5 separate regions of the Mus musculus genome follow, and all the other regions are reported to be linked to region 3. The links are microRNA targets in miRTarBase. Many come from high-throughput screens and were not tested one by one. Region 3 holds a microRNA gene; each other region holds the end of a gene's coding sequence.
Evidence for each region. The annotated mature microRNA mmu-miR-24-3p reads UGGCUCAGUUCAGCAGGAACAG and lies in region 3 at 2,735-2,756, opposite strand. An mRNA with a match to its seed (bases 2 to 7 or 8) in the 3' UTR can be bound and repressed. Matches are read on the target gene's strand: a 7mer-m8 pairs with bases 2 to 8, a 7mer-A1 pairs with bases 2 to 7 and ends in A, and an 8mer does both.

Region 1: miRTarBase lists Kansl3 as a target of mmu-miR-24-3p. Seed matches in the 3' UTR shown: 7mer-m8 at 514-520 and 7mer-A1 at 2,284-2,290.
Region 2: miRTarBase lists Neurod1 as a target of mmu-miR-24-3p. Seed matches in the 3' UTR shown: 7mer-m8 at 1,723-1,729.
Region 4: miRTarBase lists Fam168b as a target of mmu-miR-24-3p. Seed matches in the 3' UTR shown: 7mer-m8 at 2,512-2,518.
Region 5: the mRNA of Fkbp1b is a reported target of mmu-miR-24-3p. Seed matches in the 3' UTR shown: 7mer-A1 at 764-770.

The regions. Positions count from the first base shown.
Region 1 is chr1:36,334,024-36,338,078 of GRCm38, reverse strand. It overlaps Kansl3 (KAT8 regulatory NSL complex subunit 3), which reads left to right. Exons shown (of 22, transcript NM_001310513.1): 22 at 428-2,349. The coding sequence ends at 448. Among named protein-coding and RNA genes, the nearest start is that of Mir6898, 13 kb to the left of the region's middle.
Region 2 is chr2:79,450,586-79,454,640 of GRCm38, reverse strand. Neurod1 (neurogenic differentiation 1) reads left to right here. Exons shown (of 2, transcript NM_010894.3): 2 at 1-2,004. The coding sequence ends at 677. Among named protein-coding and RNA genes, the nearest start is that of Neurod1, 4.0 kb to the left of the region's middle.
Region 3 is chr8:84,207,565-84,211,630 of GRCm38, reverse strand. Mir24-2 (microRNA 24-2) reads right to left here and starts at 2,816; the gene lies at 2,710-2,816. It overlaps Zswim4 (zinc finger SWIM-type containing 4), which reads left to right. Exons shown (of 14, transcript NM_172503.3): 14 at 1-689. It overlaps Mir23a (microRNA 23a), which reads right to left and starts at 3,113; the gene lies at 3,039-3,113. It overlaps Mir27a (microRNA 27a), which reads right to left and starts at 2,959; the gene lies at 2,873-2,959. It also overlaps Mir3074-2.
Region 4 is chr1:34,814,475-34,818,529 of GRCm38, forward strand. Fam168b (family with sequence similarity 168, member B) reads right to left here. Exons shown (of 7, transcript NM_174997.2): 6 at 3,523-3,652; 7 at 1-2,930. The coding sequence ends at 3,540. Among named protein-coding and RNA genes, the nearest start is that of Gm32790, 24 kb to the left of the region's middle.
Region 5 is chr12:4,829,997-4,834,051 of GRCm38, reverse strand. Fkbp1b (FK506 binding protein 1b) reads left to right here. Exons shown (of 4, transcript NM_016863.4): 4 at 257-876. The coding sequence ends at 385. Among named protein-coding and RNA genes, the nearest start is that of Fkbp1b, 9.5 kb to the left of the region's middle.

The DNA of each region.
Region 1 (4,055 bases), not on the chromosome of region 3:
CAGTTTGTCTAGTGTTGTACTTGTTTCCTATTCTCTGTGTTCCTTTCCTGTCCTTGGGTGTGATAAATACAACCAAGAGCTGATGTTTGTGGTTGAGCGTGAATTATACTGTTGATGCTTTATGCAGGTTATCTTACTTAATTCCTGCAGTATTCCTGGGAAGCAGGTGCTGTCATTTGTGTCCCAGGTGAGAGGGAAGCTCACAGAGCCTCTGCGCTAGTGAGTCCTTACCCCAAGTTGTACCCCAGTGGGCCTGACTGTAGAATCCAAGTTCTCTTACATGAATAACACCAGAGCAGAGCAGAGCAGAGCGTCTTATTTCCTATTGATCATTACATTGGCTTGCATTCTTGGGAGTGGGATGATTGGGTCAGAGGAGGGGTCTAGTCTGGCTAAACTTTGACCCCTTTTCACCCTTCTGCCACAGCGCCTGCCTCCAGCACCCTGAGTATGCCAGCAAAATGTCCTTACCAGGTTGGTGAAAACTGCCTCAAGGTGAACCGTGTGGTCCTGCTGAGCCGGCTGAGTATCTGAAGACATCCTTAAGACAGCCATTTTCAGCTCTCTACTAGCTGTCTTTGGGGCTGGGCCTCTGGCTTGAGAAAACATTAGGCCAGGTGATGTAAGGCCAGCAAGTTGGTTCCTGGGATCCCCAGGTCTGGCATAGTTGGATAGTTGGCATTTCTACCCCAACACTGATGTAGTTTGACCCCAGTGTCAGTATAGAACGGCTCACTGCAGTTTCATGATGAAGGCAGGAAGAAGTGGGCTGTCAGCTGCCAGCCCTTAGCTGCTCTAAGATGTGGGGAATGGTGGTTACCATGTGATGGCTGGCCCCTTCCTCTTCCTCACAACATTTTGTGCAATCGCCTGTAGAAGAGAGCCTGTAGGTCCAAAAAGAGGGGTGGACGGCAAAGGAAGTAGTTGGCAAGGCACACCCAAGGGCCCTATGCTGCTGGCAGCTCGGGCTTGGAGCTCTGCATGACACTTGAGGGCCTAAGAAGAGCTAGAGAAATGGAATTTACCAAGTCAGGGAAACCGCAAATCCCCGAGAGTCTTGTGTGCTGCCTGGCAATGAAGCAATTGACCAGCTACCATGCTATCTCTGCTGTTGTAGGAAGCTTGGGGCACTAGGACAGGGAAGGCTGTGCTTCAAAGTTTGTCTCCTTTCTTAGAACTCTGCCTTTCTGCTTAGAAGTGGAAAGGTTGTTGACTACTGTGTGAGGCTCTGGGGCCAGCCTGAGTCTTGTAGACCGTGGTCCTGGTGATGTGGGCACTGACGATGGAGCAGAGCCTCTCATTCCCTGTGACACTGCAGATGGAGCTGATGTTCAGAGCCGGCTCCTTTCCCTTTCATACTTAGAAAGTTTCTGTTAAGATGAGAAATAAAGCAACGCAAGTGTGATTTTGGTCACGGGGCCATATACAGCTACACCAAAGCCCTCTCACCTATAGTCTGAGTGGACACAGTGTGGAGGAGCCTCAGGCAAGTCAGGTCAGAGACGTGTGATAGGACGAGAGAGGTCTCCAGTCTCCACACCTCGCCTTGGCTGTGGAGTTGCACTCAGTGGTTCACAGAGTGGAGCTGTATTCTGAAATTCAGAAGGCATTCAGAGAATTTGAGAAGGTATGAAATCTGGATGAGGCGCGCCTAGCGCTGGGGCCTTGATAGCTTCATAGGTCAGAGCATATAACCACCAAAAGAGAGGATAAGACTGGGAGTGTCTGTGAAACCTTTAGGGATTAAGTTGGCAGAGGACCCTGAACAACCCTTTGTGACTTAGGAGAACAACTTGAGCAACACTGGAGGGCTGCTCCTGAAAGATGCTGCCCCTGTGTTCTGGAACCAAAGAAAACCTGTATCCTGCTTTGGTGGTTTATCTGTGTGCATCCCATGGGTGACTTCTGAGGCATGGCTTACATACCTTGAAGAACTGCAAAACTGAGGAGGGGGAGCTGCAGCACACTGATTGTCACCTTTGAGGGACTGACCAACGAGGAGGTGACTGGAGTCTGTAGACCATGTTCCTCGGGTCCCATCTCAAACCACAGCAGTTGGAATGTGGAGAGACACTTCACCCCACCCACCTCGTGGCAGACTTGAGGGTGTAGCCTCAGAAGGTAGTACTCTTATGAGTATGTGGAAGGGTCAGGAAGGCTTTACATTCTCTTTCAGGCAACAGAGGGCTTGTAAATGCCCAGTGGAAGAGGTCACTGAGGAGCAAAGACAGCAACCTTTGGTTGTATCACTATAATAATTTGGGTTGGATGAATTCATAGAAGTGAGCCAGAGCAATGTTTCTGATCTTACGTTAGCAAAAAGAATAAAATACAAAACATTGAACTTTGCGTTGCTTCAGCTTGTTTTCATTTGGTTCTGCATGCTTTGGGAATTGCCTCCAGCCAGACTTTAGATGGAGTGATGGGTGGTGCCTAAGGTCATCCGGGGCTCTGAGGCCTGGGCACTGTATACAGGCCTAAAATTCACTGTGCAGCTAAACTGGCCTTAACTCCCAGTTCTTCTGCTTCTGCGTACTGAGCCGTGGGATTACAGGCATATACCTCCACCCCATCTTTCACTCCCTTTATAGGTGGGGAAGAGGTTCTGGCTGATGTCCGTTCTGGGTTCTGAAATGGAAGACCAGAAATGGAGACTAGCCTAGGAAGTGAAGAGAATGTGACCCTTTTCAGTTTTCCCATCAGGCCAAGAGTGATTGACTTTGCTTGAGTAGAGTTCCCACTAGGCCCATTGGGAGATAGGGGGGGAGGGGTGGGATCTCTTGCTGTTTGTCCTAACAAAGGTGAATTTGCACCTTTGACTCTAAGATAAGTACTTAAAGGTTGGTAAGTGGGGCAGTGGAGGCACACGCCTTTAATCCCAGCACTTGGGAGGCAGAGGCAGGCGGATTTCTGAGTTTGAGGCCAGCCTGGTCTAAAAAGTGAGTTCCAGGACAGCCAGGGCTATGCAGAGAAACCCTGACTCCAAAAAAAAAAAAAAAAAAAAGGTTGGTAAGTGAATTCTAACCTTAAGGTTACTTTTGTTTCTGTAGCAAGAGGGACCTCCTCCTCCACCCCCTTTGATCCTTAGGTACTTCTGGTCTTCCCAGGACAGACATCAGCCCACAGCTCTTTGTCACCTATAAAGGGAGAGACAGTTGAATGTGCCAGTAAATACCTGGAACCCCAGCATTCAGGAGGCAGAAGCAGTGGTCAGCTTAGCTACACAGAGAATCTAAGGCCTGCCTTGGCATTAGATCTCTGGTGGAGACAGTTAAGATGGAACGTGGTGCTGTGGCTCAGCGGGTAAGAGCAGTGACTGCTCTTCCAAAGGTCCTGAGTTCAAATCCCAGCAACCACATGTTTGTTTACAACCACCCATAATATAATAATAAACAAATCTTTGGGCCGGAGTGAGCAGGGTTGCCCGGAGCGAGCAGAGGTCCTAAAAATTCAATTCCCAACAACCATATGAAAGCTCACAGCTACCTGTTCAGCTACAGTGTACTCATATATATAAGTCTTAAAAGATGGAACAAGTCTTTGTTCCCTTTTATCTTTTCTAAGCATGTGTTTAGGACTGGTAGTTGGAAGAGGCAGAGACTCGTTGACTTCCTTAAGTGGGACTCATCAGCTCCTTGTTTTGAAAAGGTTCTTGCTCAGCCCAGACTGGCACAGAACTTATATAACTTCCTGCCTTCTGTATGCTCTTAACTGCTGAGCCGTCTCTCCAGCCCCTCAGAATTAGATTTTTTTTTCCTGTTGTCATAGGACTGTCTAGTATGGATTCCTTGATGGATCTCCATCTAGCAGTTCAAAATCCAAAAACAACTCCATTGACCTGAGCCCATTTAGGAGCTAGCTCTTACTGCATCCAGTCGCCTAATCCAGTTCCTACTGAGCCCTTCTGCTGTGTGGTAGTGTAAGCCGGGCATGGTGGTGCACACCTTTAATCCCAGCACTCGGGAGGCAGAGGCAGTCGGATTTCTGAGTTCGAGGCCAGCCTGGTCTACAAAGTGAGTTCCAGGACAGCCAGGGCTATACAGAGAAACCCTGTC
Region 2 (4,055 bases), not on the chromosome of region 3:
AGACCCAGAAACTGTCTAAAATAGAGACACTGCGCTTGGCCAAGAACTACATCTGGGCTCTGTCAGAGATCCTGCGCTCAGGCAAAAGCCCTGATCTGGTCTCCTTCGTACAGACGCTCTGCAAAGGTTTGTCCCAGCCCACTACCAATTTGGTCGCCGGCTGCCTGCAGCTCAACCCTCGGACTTTCTTGCCTGAGCAGAACCCGGACATGCCCCCGCATCTGCCAACCGCCAGCGCTTCCTTCCCGGTGCATCCCTACTCCTACCAGTCCCCTGGACTGCCCAGCCCGCCCTACGGCACCATGGACAGCTCCCACGTCTTCCACGTCAAGCCGCCGCCACACGCCTACAGCGCAGCTCTGGAGCCCTTCTTTGAAAGCCCCCTAACTGACTGCACCAGCCCTTCCTTTGACGGACCCCTCAGCCCGCCGCTCAGCATCAATGGCAACTTCTCTTTCAAACACGAACCATCCGCCGAGTTTGAAAAAAATTATGCCTTTACCATGCACTACCCTGCAGCGACGCTGGCAGGGCCCCAAAGCCACGGATCAATCTTCTCTTCCGGTGCCGCTGCCCCTCGCTGCGAGATCCCCATAGACAACATTATGTCTTTCGATAGCCATTCGCATCATGAGCGAGTCATGAGTGCCCAGCTTAATGCCATCTTTCACGATTAGAGGCACGTCAGTTTCACTATTCCCGGGAAACGAATCCACTGTGCGTACAGTGACTGTCCTGTTTACAGAAGGCAGCCCTTTTGCTAAGATTGCTGCAAAGTGCAAATACTCAAAGCTTCAAGTGATATATGTATTTATTGTCGTTACTGCCTTTGGAAGAAACAGGGGATCAAAGTTCCTGTTCACCTTATGTATTGTTTTCTATAGCTCTTCTATTTTAAAAATAATAATACAGTAAAGTAAAAAAGAAAATGTGTACCACGAATTTCGTGTAGCTGTATTCAGATCGTATTAATTATCTGATCGGGATAAAAAAAATCACAAGCAATAATTAGGATCTATGCAATTTTTAAACTAGTAATGGGCCAATTAAAATATATATAAATATATATTTTTCAACCAGCATTTTACTACCTGTGACCTTTCCCATGCTGAATTATTTTGTTGTGATTTTGTACAGAATTTTTAATGACTTTTTATAACGTGGATTTCCTATTTTAAAACCATGCAGCTTCATCAATTTTTATACATATCAGAAAAGTAGAATTATATCTAATTTATACAAAATAATTTAACTAATTTAAACCAGCAGAAAAGTGCTTAGAAAGTTATTGCGTTGCCTTAGCACTTCTTTCTTCTCTAATTGTAAAAAAGAAAAGAAAAGAAAAAAAACCAACAAATTGCACAATTTGAGCAATTCATCTCACTTTAAAGTTTTTCCTGCTCGCTCCCTAAAATAGAAACCAGACCCATAACACTCAAGAGGATGAAAACCGAAATGCATTCCTTATCAAAACACATCAATTCATTACTTGCACAAGCTTGTAAATACATATTATAAATAAATGCCAACACACACTCCTTTAAATCAAAAGCTGCTTGACTATCACATACAATTTGCACTCTTTCTTTTTAGTCTTTTACTTCTTTGAATTCCATGATTTTACGGAGTGTTTGAAGATATTGATGTTTCCAGAAAATATAAATGCATGATTTTATACATAGTCAAACAAATGGTGGTTTGTCATCTATTCATGTAATAAATCTGAGCCTAAATTTATTCAGGTTGTTAATGTTGGGTTTTTATACCTGTGTAGTCAGTTAGTACAGTAGTTTAAATAAAATTCAAACCATCGAATTCATAATTAGAACAATAGCTGTTGCATGTAAAATGCAGTCCAGAATAAGTGCTGTTTGAGATGTGATGCTGGTACTACTGGAATTGACATGTACTGTAATCTTGTTTGTAATCCTGTGTATTATGGTGTAATGCACAATTTAGAAAACTCCCATGCAGTTGCAATAAAAATAGTATGGAAAATCAAAACAATTGTTTCATTTCTTTCGAAAGTGGATTTTAAAGAGTAAAATTGTAGCGAGGAGGATCAACGTCTGTATTTGCTGAGTTAAATGTTAAACATTAGGAATAAAATATAGAGTTGAGCTTGTCCTGTGCTTAGTCTGTTATCTTGCTTAGAGGGTCACTGGCTTCTCAGATAACAAACAGACCTCGCCTCTGTTTTATTATTTGGAGTATTGAGCACAGAGTAAGCTGGACAAAAAACTCTGGTTTTCTAAAGGTGAAACGTCTTCACCTTTACTCTCTTTGTTTGTTTGTTTGTCTCTGTTTGTTGAAATGATTGTTAGAAGTTTCTTTTATTTTTCAGGCGGATTTACTTAAGTATTAACTAGCAAGACATAAGCAAATACCTTAGTTTAATTTGTTTATACATATTTAAAGCATAAACAAAATTGAATATTTTCTCACTGTTCTGTTATCTGTATCTTTCCTGAACTAGATAGCTTTCTTTCAAACAGTCCTGCACTCCAAACTATATATCTGATATTGTAGGAAAATTATTTAATTAATTGAAAGGCTCCCAAAAGATGAGGCATTTTATAATGGTTCTATTAAGTGTTTGGGATGTCTTCACTAATTGTTCCACTAAAGTGCTAGTGAGCTTTTGGTACATAAGTATATACTATTTGTGTTCTATTTTAGGAGTGTATATTACTCCACAGTTTTCTGTACAGTCCTGCTATTTTATATTTTGATTTTATAAACACACACACACACACACACACACACACACACACCACACCACACCACACCACACCACACCACACCACACCACACCACACCACACCAACTTAACTTCTGGTAAGTCTACTTAATAAATAGTTTGGCATTTCCCTTCCCATGAGAAATGACTGACAGTCTTGATTTTTATGGAATAGCATTTTGGCAGTTGTATTGTCTCTACTGTGATTCTGATTGCTGTCATTGTTCCTTCTCTGATTCGGATACCACATTGGATGCCTACCTCCCTTGCAAGCATGTTCCTTTAATCTCCTTCTCGTTGGTGGCTTAAGGGTTCCAGAAAACTGACCTTATTTAGTAAGCTGCTCCAGAAAAACGTGAGTAATCTAATAGACAGGAACAATTAGCCATAGTAATAACGTTGCCAACGAGGCCCCATCAAGCTGTGACAGTAGCAGTAAGGGATATTTCAACATTCAAAAAAATTAATGTAATTTAAAATAATGTTTTCTACCAGCCTTTATCACACACAGAAATACATTAAAGCTGGTCCCAACTTTACCCCAAATGTAGTTGTCTCTTTCCAAGTGAATCAGAGCAGTTATTTTGGAATCAAGCTGTTGCTTCCTAGCCTGGATTTTTCTCACCATTGACTTTAGGAGACACAATACTGATAGCAGAATCCTTCAGCCTCCCAGCACAGGAAACCATAAAGTGAACATTCAGATCTGATCTGATCTATTAAGCAGCTCAGTTTCACCTGTAATTAAAATTAGACATCTCCATGCAAACTAAAAACTGTTGCTAGAGTCAACAGAAGAACCAAGGGTGGTGTTTCTAGAATCACAACATTTAAAATGGGAAGCAAAAGAATCTAGACTATGGGTTTCATTAGAGGTAGGCGTGAAGGATGAAGGCTCTGCTTCACTCTTTTTCTTTTTCATTTTGTGTGTGTTTAAAATTTCACTCTAAAGGCGTAGGGATTCTTTCAGTCAGTCAGGGAGTAACTCACATGCCACCATCTTTTATTCAAAGGCAGGCACAGATGTTCCTTCTGCAGGGAAGGTTTTAATTTATGAAAATGATATTGTTTATGCATGAATGAACTGCATGCACCCTGCATAACGCATAGCACTTCCATCTGATCAGAGAAATACCACCAAACCAGCGCCAATGTCAGAAACATATTCTACACATTTACTCACTCAAATGTTTAATGAATATTTGGAATGCATTTTCAAACCATAAGAAATCTTTTAAATTATCTCCTTCATTTCTTTTATGAATTGTTAAGCACATTTTAAAGATACTTTTACAGTCTTTATGTTTGCTTAATC
Region 3 (4,066 bases):
AGTGCAGCAGATGCTCCAGAGCCGGAGCTGGCCGGAGCCTAGGCACTTCACATCAGGGTAGTTACTTCCCACTGTGTTTCTCCCCTCTCCACAGCTCAGGGCTCCTGTCCCACTGCCCTGCGCCCCCAGCCCCAGCTTTCCAGCACAAATGCCTCACCCCACTGAAGGATATTAAGAGGTCTTGGGCCTCTGCCACATACCTCACCCCCAAATACCCTTGTCAAGCCAGGGCCTGTCTTCTCTTGGGCACCAAGGTCACAGGGTAGGCTGGGGACAGCTCTCTGCTGGCCAGACCCCACCACTAGTAACTGGATACACAACTCAGGAGTCAGGCTGCCCTCCAGCCTGTTGTGGGAGGCACAGGCAGACAGCCAGGGACCCCGTTCTGTCTTCCTCTTGCTCTGCACCTCCATTTGTTTCCCCACTCCCTTAGTTTCCCCATGTCTGCATCTCTCTCAAGTCCCAGCTGCTGACAGGCCTTCCTGTATCCCAGGCCTTGGCCCAGGGAGGAAGAGAAGGGAGAGCCTCCACCCCAGACGCACCTGTCTTCTCTCTTGTATATTAAGGAAAAAGTTGGCATCATTTTGTAACTTTTTTTCTTATTTATTGAACCCCATACTGTATTCTTTTCCTTTTTTTTTCCTTTTTTTTTAAAAAAAAGATTGAACACAACTTCTTTTTAACTTCAAGACTGGGTTGCATTGCTAACACAAACACCCGGGGCCAGGGGTACCTACCACCTGCTCAATTAACCAAAAAATTTTCCATCTCGGTTTTTGGGCACAACTTGAATGGGACAGGAGAGGCTGCTGGTTTCTTCATGGCATCGTGGTGACACGAAGAGCCACCTCTTGCTGGTGGCTTTACTGCTTTTCCATCTGCATGTCATAATCTCTGCAAGTCAGGAGGCTTAAAACGCCCAAACCTAGAGTCTGTAGGTTTTTGGAAAATGCACCCAGATTGCACTGTCCTTCATTGCAGGAAATGACCACCAGGGGGCGTCTGGCTCCAGACAACGTCATTCGGAGCTCCGGAGGTCTCACCAGGTGCGGAGGGCAGCTGGGGACGCCTGTGTCCCCAGTGACCTGCCCATTGCATTTTTGGGCTGTGGATGAGACTCCCGTTCTTAGATGGATTCATCCAGCGGACGGCCTGGGCATTCTTCTCATTCTCCGGTTCTTTATGTCCTTAGCTGTGTCTGACAGGGTCATTGTTTAGGACCGTTCTCTTGGAAGCTGTGTGTGTGTGTGTGTTGCCTCTGTGGGGCACTATGGGAGCTGGCTGTGACTATGAGTGTGGCCATAGTTCATGGTGCGTTCCTTTGCTCCAGGGAGCCGATCAGAGGCGATCCGCCCCTTAGCCCTTCTGGCGCAGACGGGCGCGCGCGCGTGCGTGCGTGCGTGCGTGTGTGTGTGTGTGTGTGTGTGTGTGTGTGTGTGTGTAGACGGGCGCGCGCGCGTGCGTGTGTGTGTGCATGCGCGCGTGTCTGTCTGTGCTCGCATATGTGCCCGTCCTTAAGCCCTGTGTGTGTGTGTGTGTGTGTGTGTGTGCATGCGCGCGTGTCTGTCTGTGCGCGCATATGTGCCCGTCCTTAAGCCCTGGCATCTTGCCAGTCAGTGCATCCCAGCATAGGCAGAGTACATTCTTGTAACATACTCCCTCATGGAACTGGGGTGACCACAGATTGGTCTCATACACCCCAGGTCTGGGTTATCCCTCCCGTTCAAGCCATCCCCAAAGGATCCCAGGATCTTCAGGTCGCAGCACCTACTGACCACAGAACTATATTTACACCTTCCTAGAAGCAGGTGGAGCAAGGTTGGGGATAGGTGCAATGCAGGTTAGGAGCCCAGGGTGTGGTAGATATAGTGGTGCAGCTGGTATTCCCAAACTCCAGACACTGGAGGAGTTTGATTCAAGGTCAGCCTGGTCTACACAGAAATGCTGTTTCAAGAGAAATGAAAAAAGCCAGCAACACACATGTGGGAGGCGGGAATGAAGAGACGTCAGCCCTTACGGAATGAGGCTGTGGAGCTTTTATTTAGTTGGAGAACAACATTCAATACAAGCTTTCAACTCTGTTCTTCCACCCAGGCTTCGATTTGCCCCTGCCCAGAGTAGGGAGAGGACACTGTATGGTCTGGGAAGTGTAACTCAGCCAGTTCCAATTAGTCTGCATGCAGTCTCATTTGTGGGTAGTAGGCAACTTTTTAACTTCCAAGCCTGGAGATTACTTCAACAGGCCAATGGGGGGGGGGGGCATGGATCTGTTCATATCCTGAGGCCTGTGTGGACCTCGCTCCCTGCCTCGCTGTCACCAGCAGAAAGCTGCAGACCCCATGGGATTGCTAGGCACACTGGATCAGGTCAGTGCCTTCTTCCGGAAGCAGAGAGTTGGCATTTAACCGTTAGAGGGCCTAAAGCAGCTTCCTCTTGGGTAACTGACTTCAAAGATGGTATGTATAAGGGGTGGTGCCTGAGCCCCACCAGACTTAGGAAAAGAAGGGCTTCCAGGCCCTGAGGGGACATAACTGGCTTTTAATGCAAGGGTTACCCGCCCATCTATCTGCTTTGGGGAACCACAGAAATCTCAAGGTGGACACCCAGATGCAGGCTTAGAGGCTGAGCCTCCAGCAGACAACGGGGCTTAGGTTGGACTAATTACCCCATTGTTTCCAGGTCTTGCTCACGGCAGACATTCTGCAGGGTTGCCAGCTCCTAGGGGGCTGGACTCCTGTTCCTGCTGAACTGAGCCAGTGCACTGGAATCAACTGTTTCAGCTCAGTAGGCACGGGAGGCGGAGCCCGGAGAGAGGCAGAGCCCTGCCAGCCAGGAGGCAGAGCAGGGTGGGCAGCAGCGGCCTGAGGAGATGGGGTCCAGGGGGCGGAACTTAGCCACTGTGAACACGACTTTGCTGTGGACCTTGCTCACAAGCAGCTAAGCCCTGCTCCTCAGGCCAGTTGTCATGATAGGCTTCTCTGTTACCCAGTACCCAAGACAGACATCCTTGGCGACAGGAGCCCCCAAGGCAGAGCACAGGGTCAGTTGGAAATCCCTGGCAATGTGATTTGTGACTGGCATCAAATCCCATCCCCAGGAACCCCAGCCGTCCGAGGCACAGTGAGGGGGGCAGCAGGTGGGAGCGGAGTGTAGCACCTAAAGAGAGAAAGAAGAGACAGTGAGATTGGAGCATTCTTGCTTGCCTGCCTATCTTGACCAGGCTGGGTCTCACATAGCTGAACACAAGGTTTCCGAATGCACCAGTTCTTCCTGCCTCTACCTCTGGAGTCTAGGATTATAGGTACACCTCACCACACACAGTTTAAGTGGTGCTGGGGACAGAATCTAAACTCAGCTTGCTGATCCACACCCTAGCCCTCCTCTACTTCCAAGAGGGAAGAAGCATTCCCAAAAAAGAGGAGCATCGATCCGTAGGAAGGTTGGAGCGAGGCTGCTGGATGCTGGGCACCCAGCAGTGCCTCTACCCCAGCCCTACAAAGCGGGAGGTGCCTGAAGCCCTAAGGCCAAAGGGGCTGCAGAGCCTTCCCAGCTGCTTCCCACTCTGCTTCTATCCCCACCCACAGCCCTGAGCCCAAAGCAGGCCAAATGGGGCCATGGAGAGGAAGCTGAGGGAGGTGGACGGTTGGAGGGAGGAAGTGACCTCACCCCAGCTGGCGCCACTTCCTAGAAGCCTGAAGGGCAGGAGGAAACTCCAGGGCCTCCCACCTCAGCCCTCTCCTCCCCAGCCAGCTCAGACATAACCCCACCCCCACCCCACACCACCTAGGGCCCAAGCAAGGAGAAGCAGGCCGATGCACCCCAACAATAACACCTCAGTAAAGTTTCCCCTAGGCCTTCCAAGCCTCAGTTTCCCCATCTGTAAAGCAGACTACAACAGTTGCAGTTGGTGGCTCACGTTTATCTCAGCATTGAGGAAACTGAGGCAGGAAGGTTGCCAAGAATGGAGTCAAAAGCCTGCTTAAGCTACATGATGAGTTTTAGGCCTAACTGGGCTACAGTTTGAGACCCTAGTCTTAAATAGAAGAAAAACAAAAATAAAACAACA
Region 4 (4,055 bases), not on the chromosome of region 3:
CAACAGTTCCTCCAAGGAAGACCACAACACAGAGACAACAGTTGCAGAGGCCGCTTCCATGCCTGTAGCCTAACTGACCCAATCCTGATGGTGGTGGGTTTGCTTCTCCAGAGTCAAGGAGCTTACAGTTTCCAATACTCCACAACTCTAAACTGCAAGCAGCAGCAGCCGAGGAAGGAAGGCCCCTAGCCTCAGGGACGGCAGCAGAAAATAAACTTGATATATATAGATATATCTATATATCTCCTTAACAACGATGTCAGTGTCCATAGGGATCAGACTCTCTGCCTGCCTGTCAATTCAGCTGAAGGACTCTAGTCAGGAATGTCACACTCATAGAAAGCACACTGTCTTGGAATGTTCCTCAATGTTTTGGGATACCTGTACAGCCATGTAGTAGAATACTGACCCAATTCTGTTCCTTATTTTTACTGAAACTGAATGTTGTTAAAGTCACCCCCTGTGACAGTTCACTACCATCCATATACCCAGATTTTCACCTGGTAAGCTCTCTCACCAGCAGATCCCACAGTGATGACCTGATAGCTTCAAAACAGACAAGATTTCCACCCAGCCGAGTTGTACACTACAGAGGTGTTTGGTAGTCACTCCATTTCAACAGTTCCAGGGCAAGTGTGTGAGGCTGATGTGATCAGCAGGAGGGCAGCAGCCCCTCCCTCTCTCTTGAGAACTCAGGGCCTGTGCATACACACACACTGTGTGTTGCTGCAAGTAGGCTCAAAGACTTGGTAACTTCCTGCTGTAGGCAAACAACTCTACCCTTTCCAGGCAGGGAGATAGCCATGTTTAGTTGGGGATGGATAAGGGGACTTTTTCAAACACGTGAAAATCACAGGTACATTTGTTCTAAAGAAATCCCCTTCTGTCTGATGAGTCCAGAGAAAACTTGGAAATCCCAACCCTGCAAGTCACTCAGCACAGGGACGGGATCCCAACATGGAAGTACGGGTGCAGGCTGTGTGCTCCAGCAAGCGTGTCTATCTCTGTGCAGGGTGTGCTTGCTGGTGCTACCCCTCTCCCCATGCACGCGCACATCCAAGCACACACACACACACGCACGCACGCACGCACACATACACACACACACACACCTAAGTGCTCATGAGGCAATTAACCATAATCATCCATAAACTTTCTATGTTCATAGACATAAGGAATGAGGAATCTTCTGTTCACACTGATCCATGCAGCAACCTTCCTAAACTTCTCAAAAAATAAAATGCTTAAAAAAAAACTATGGAGAGCATTACTATAAAAATAAGGTCACCGAAGGTTCCATATTCAGGTGACCCAGCCTCTAGCCAAGTTGACTGCTACTGAGGCAACCTCTACACCAACATGGAAGCCCTGACTTAGCTGCCAGAGACAAGCACCCCTTCCAACCAAAGCCCCAGGAATTCAATGGGGCTGACAAAAGATACAAAGCTCACCCCCAGTTGACAGAGCCCAGAGAGGTCCTCGTGCCCTGCCCTTTGACCCACACTGAACAGAAACACTCTCACAGATTCAAGTCGGGCACACTCAGGCAGAAAGAACTTTTGTGGTTTCTTATGTACACACTCAAAATCTTTCCCACCACAGAGCCTTCCAAGCAAGAGCACTCCTGAACTGCCTGGCCCTTTCTGCTTTCCACATCTGCTTGGTACTGAGTGCCTTCAGTGACAGCAGAGTGGCTTCCGCAGGTTTCCGCAGGCTTCCCGGGCCTCACCCCGCTAGTTACAGAGAGCATCCTCAGGTGAATGGCCCCAAGACAAGCTACATTATTTCTACATTTTTACACATCATCACAGCCCTGCTTCTCTACAAGAAACATGAGGAACTAACTTAAAAATACACTTATTCCCTTGTAACCAGTCTTAAATGTACAACACTCTTCACAGCACACAGCTGAAGTCTTTGTGGGAGAATACAGCAGTGCCCATGTCTTTAGGTGACTCAGTTATTCTCAGGGGGAAAAAAAGGAATGGTTCCCTAAGCAAAATAAAGCAAAAGACAACACTGCCTCAGTGTGGCTGCTTCTCTTTGACATCTTCCCTCCTAGGAAGACAGTTTACTTCTACAATGGACTTTCCCAACAGTCCCAACAGATACAGAGAACGTTATCCTGTAAGACATACAGAGAAAACTCGGATGGCAGACCCTGCTCTGACACACAGACCACTCCTCACCCCAGCTGGACTCGTCACCAAGCTCCTGTATTTCCTGATAAGCTTCAGGTAGACCCCTGTTCTGCAGAGCACACTCCAGCTGAAATGAAGGAGAGGGACCCCGTCATCCCTGCTGCTGCTGCTGCTGCTGTCTGGAGCTGCTGCAGGTGTGCTCTCTCTCCCCCAGTCCCTGCAGCTCCCTCAGGATCAGTCAGCCAGTGCCAAAAAACCAGGCTGCTGAAAGCTATAGTCTGTGTCCATAACTGGCAACCCCAGCCCCTAAGAGTCCCCTGCAGTCCTCCCCACGCTTCAGTGAGGACATCCCTTGTACAAGTGTAACTGAGGCTCAGCGTACATCGCAGAGGTGCGTGAGGGACAGGACAGGCTGTGAACGTGGTCCAGTCCTTCGGGTTTTGCATATGATGGTTTTGCATCAGTCACTGCAGGTAGATTGAGCAAGCTTTGTTTTTGTTTGTTTTTATAAACATGCATTCAACTAGATATGATTCAGAATAGAGTAATACTCCCTTTTTATCATTACAGTTAGCTAAAAAATTTGCCAGGCAGTCCACAAAACAGGATTTGCTTTAAAACCAACCCAGAGTTAGTTGGAGACTAGCGAGCTGGGACCTGCTGGGCTGGGGCGCAGTCATGTTTAGCTAAGTGTCGGAGCAGTAAGAAGAAAGTCCTGGTTGGAGGCACAAGGCCTGCAGCACCAGCTGTGGAACTCAATGAAGTGACTGCACAGCTCCATCCTCAAATCTGGGAAAGAATAACAACAGTCAGACAGGCTCTTGGCACTTGTGCTTTACCAGTTCCAGAAGGCAGCGGTACCCAAAGCTGCGCCACCTGGTTCCCACCCACCTTACAGCAACACCCTGTGCCCCCTGCCCCATTATACCTGGAGCCCTACACACTGCACTACAGAAGCAGCAAGACAAACAGTTAGCACTCAATGCCCCCCCTCCCTCTTCCCTTATTGGATGTCCCAATAAGAATAATGACATAATGAGGTAAGGCCTAGGGTGCCATTCGTGGGCGGGTGGGCCGAGGCTGTAAGGGAGGGAGGTGAGCAAGGAGGGCAAGCTGGAGAAGCAAGCCAATCAGCACCCATCCTCACGGCTGTACATCAGTTCCTGCTCAGACTCCCGTTATGATGGGTTGTAACTGTAGTCACTGTAAGCCAGGCCAAGCCACTCTTCCTTTCCCCAAGGTGCTCTCGCTCAGTGTTGTGCCGTATCAAAAGACAGACAAGCATACTAGACCAGTGCTTGTATCTAGTCAGTCTTGCAGTCTCCTCAGAGAAGTGCACCTCAGCAGGGCCCACCTAGCCACAGCCTTCACTAATACTCACATTAATTTGCAGGGCAATCACCACTGTGGGGGCACATAGCTGTAGGTGGGTGTTCCTGGGGCTCGGTATGTGGGGACAGTGACCGGGTGAGGGGCTACAGGAGTTGGAGAATGAGCAGTCAGCAGAGTACCTGGAAGAAAGAACACTTCATAAGGAAGTACAAGCGACTGCTAGAGAGCTCCATCATGTGGTCTCTGAGAGCACATCCTGACCTGACTTTCTCTGGGGAGGCAGGAGGGGAGGGAAGAGGAATGGTCTTGGTCTTGAACCAGAAGGGTCAAACCTCCAAACGGATTATCCAAAATGATGAAAGGCATTATTAGTGCAGCAGTCGGTGGTCATAGCATGCTTGTAAATCCTCTTCAGACTAAGCACACGAATTTTGGCAGATCACATGACTACAAAATGAAAATGTGAATCCACGCCCCTTAAACAGGAAGGGCTTCTGATACATGAGCAGCGGAGGTGAATGTGGAGACAGTGTGCTAAGTGAGGAAGGACGGTGTGTGTCCCCACTCACGCGAAGTGCTCAA
Region 5 (4,055 bases), not on the chromosome of region 3:
TAACACTGGTTGCTTGGATGAGGCTGAGGCTACTTTGTGGCTGTTAACTGCCCTATAGTCAGGGCTATTTTGAGACAGAATCTGCATGTTTAAGATCTTAGCTAAAGTTTAGTGTGCCCCCAATACAATTAATCTCAGATCTTTGGAATTACCCTAAAGATGGTTTTGGGGGAAATGCCATAGTTATCTTACTTTTTTCTTTTAAATCAAGCTGGGTCCTCTTTCTCCTCTCCCCATCTGCCCCCATCCCTGCTAGATGAGCTTGGGGCAGAGGGCGAAGCTGACCTGCACCCCTGATGTGGCCTATGGAGCTACCGGCCACCCCGGTGTCATCCCTCCCAATGCCACCCTCATCTTTGACGTGGAGCTGCTCAGCTTAGAGTGAAGGCAGGAAGGAAATCGAGGTGGCTGGAGATGGCCCCTGCTCTGTCCTAGCCTGCTCTCTCTGCCACTGGGACGGCTCCTCCTATGTAGGGCTCTTGATCAGTGTGCTGACCCCACCGCCCCTCCACATTATCTGTCCTCTCTACCCATCGTGCTCTCTCTGTGTCAGCCATTTAATCATCCCCACACACCTCTGCTTGAGAAAACCTTAGTTCAGATCCAGACATTTCAGACTGCACATTTTGTGTGATGCATGTAGTAGCCATTCCTGATCATAGGACACAGATCTTGTTTGCACAATCTATATTGCCTTACCTGCACTTAAGCCAGACATACAAGGTGCTCAGACATGTGCTGTACATGGTTACATGGAGGGACTTGAGCCAGTTACCTTTGCTGTCATTTCTTATCTTCTGTTGGCTGCTCACTTTAAGCACTGCCCTCTGGAAATAATATGTAAAATAAAGGCTCTGTACTTGGCGTCTTCCTGTTCATCGTGTTGTGGGAGGTTCTTTAATGACACACAAGCCAACTGCCCTTGGTGAAAAAGAGTGAAAGGGGACTTCCAAGTGGCTGAGAATGTATATAACAGCTTCCTGAACAAACTGCGCGTGCCAGACCTGTGGTGAACCTTTAGACAGAGTGACAGAGCCCAGGCTGACCTAGAGCTCCCTAGCCAGCCTCCTGGCTGCTGGTATTACAGGTGCATATAGATTACTACCAGGTCTAGTTTTACTTTTTAAATAAAATTATCACAAATCCTCTAAGCAACTTTGGAAGTTAGCTTCTACCCTACTAAGCTCACCAGCTCGGAGTCCTCTGCATAAATAACCCAGCATCCTAGGAATTCCATGTGGGATTTGATCTCCCAGGGTGGCCCTGCAATTTCATGTTTGAAGAGATTGAGGGAAGAGCCTCCCTCACTAGACAGGAGCTGTGTGCACCTGAGCACATGAATATGTTAAAGGCTTGAAACCTTGGACTCACTCACTCTGGGGACCAATTTTTGAAAAAAAAAAAAAAAAGTGTGGTTCTAGGCTTGTTTTCATAGGCAACACTTTGTTACATCTGGATTTGCTCTAGTTTACCTTGAAGAATTCTGATAACAATGTAGAATGTGTGTATGTGTGTGTGCCACAGTGTGCCCGAGTGTGCCCAAACGCAGGTGCGATCCTCAGGAGCCATCAATCTTTCATTTATTTACTTATATATTTATTTGAGACAGGATCTCACTGTGTAGCCCAGGCTGGCCTTGAACTCAAACGAACAGAGATTTATCTGCCTCTGGCTCCCAAGTGTTGGGATTAAAGGTGCACTGGTTTGCATTGTGTAACATTCTGTGAAGGATATGGACCACAGTTGGGGCTATTTTATCTACCATTCATCCCCGGGAAGCCATGCATGAATCCCTCTGCTGAGGCCGAGGGCTTCACGAAAAGGTAGTGCTTTGGATGAAATGATGAATGGAAAAGACTTACCTTGCTTTTACTCATCCATAGCCAAAGGATGCTGTACCCATTCCTTCTTGGGGTATCTCCTCTGGAATGATCTGCTTCCTTACTCTCCTTGACGACTCCAATACCTAGAATTCCTCAGAACTCAGTCTGTACAGAAGACACAGCATGCTGTCTGCTGTGACACCAACAAGATGAGCAAAAATGACACCAAAGACTATTTCATGGTGCAGGGCACACAAAAGATCTGTCCATGGTAGTAGAGCCTGGGTGGCAAGAGGCTATAATGCCACCTACTAAGAAACCCTAAAACTGCACATTTACTAGCTAGCACCTGAAGGATGCATGAGGCTTTACAGGTAAGCTGAGAAATGACTGCTTTCTCAAGTCTTTGGAATTAAATGATATAGAAAATCATGACACATGCCAAAGATGGTATCCCGAGAGAGCCATTAAAGGTTGGTAAGCTATAGACCAGCATTTAGATCCATGTCCTATCAGTTGTTTTCAAACTGCTGCTAAATCAATCTCATGCGTTGTTAGAAACTTGACTCAGCTCACTGAAAGCAAACAACTAGGACACACCTGCCCAGGTGAATCCGGGGACACCATTTGCCCCACTTTCTGTCCTTTGAGAAAGAAGTTCACTGAGTAGCCTAGGCTGGCCTCAAATGTACGACTCTCCTGCTTCTGCCTCTTGAACGTTTGGCTTATGGGTGTGTGCCACTGGCCACCATGTTCAGCTCTGCCCCTTACACCTAGCTTGGTTTAAAAAACTGAACTTTAGATGGCTGGTACCCAAGACAATCATCAACTAGAACCCTAGATTTAGCAATGCACCCCCTGCAGAGAGGCTCAGTGTGTGGTGTGTCTAAGTGCTTGTAATTAAATCACAGAATTCCAAACAATCAGAAGTGAATTTGTTTTCTGTAGTGATGGCTCCAAAAGCCCTCTTCTATTGAGCTATAACCCCAGCCCTAATTTAAAACTCAACTTCGGTGCTGGGCGTGGTGGCGCACACCTTTAATCCCAGCACTTGGGAGGCAGAGGCAGGTGGATTTCTGAGTTTGAGGCCAGCCTGATCCATAGAGTGACAGCCAGGGCTACACAGAGAAACCCTGTCTGGAAAAACAAAACAAAATTCAGTGAAATTCAGTGAATAGACACATAATCCAATGATGTGACTGTCCTTAACTGCTAACAGAAGACGTTTTCCTGGTCATTCACACTATTGGTAGTGCCACTCTCATGACAGTCTAATTTCAGTTGTCTCGACAAAGGGGTCTTTCAGAACACCATCTCTGTCTGCAAACACCTAAGCTATAGTGGGCAGTACAGAATTATTAAGGAAATCCACATAAAGGCACTCACAGGAGTTATGGCCTTGGCCTCTTTATCTGCCCACTCTTCTTAGAAAGGACTTTTTGCTGCCTATGGTGCCATGGTGGTTCGTGCCTTTAATCCTAGCACACAGGAGGCTGAGGCCAATATATCTCTGAGTTTGAGGCCAGCCCGGACTGCAGTGAGTTCCAGACAGCCAAGGAAACCCTGTCTTAAAATGGGTTGGGGGTAGAGTTAACAGTGCTGTCTAAAACTACTTGGACATAGTAATTTTTCTTCCTCCTCCTCTTCTTCTTCTTCCTCCTCCTCCTCCTTCTTCTTTTCCTCTTCTTCTTTTCCTCCTCCTCCTCCTCCTCCTCCTCCTCCTCTTCTTCTTCTTCTTCTCTTCTTCTTCTTCTCCTCCTCCTTCTTCCTTCCCCCTCTTTCCCCCTCCTTCCCCCTCCTTCTTTCTCCTTTTCCTTCTCCTTCTTCTTCTCCTCCTCTTTCCAAGACATAGTTTCTCTGTGTATCCCTGGCTGTCCTGGAACTCACTCTGTAGACCAGGCTGGCCTCAAACTCAGAAATTTGCCTGCCTTTGCCTCCCAAGTGCTGGGATTAAAGGCATGTGCCACCATGCCCAACAATTTCTTCATTTCTGAGTGAGTTTTGAAAAGGCAGTACAAAACCTAGAAAGTAGCCTATTTCCTTAAAAGTAATAACAGACTTTAAATGCATTTAAAAGTAGCCACTGACACTAGTCCGTCTATGTAGCCTTCAAAGTGATTCTAGATTCTGAGTATACAAAACGATCAGTCCGCACATCTCCACCTGGCCCATGCCTGAACCATAAAAAGAAAATTTATACCTACTCCTAAGCTGTCAAGCCACAACGAATGT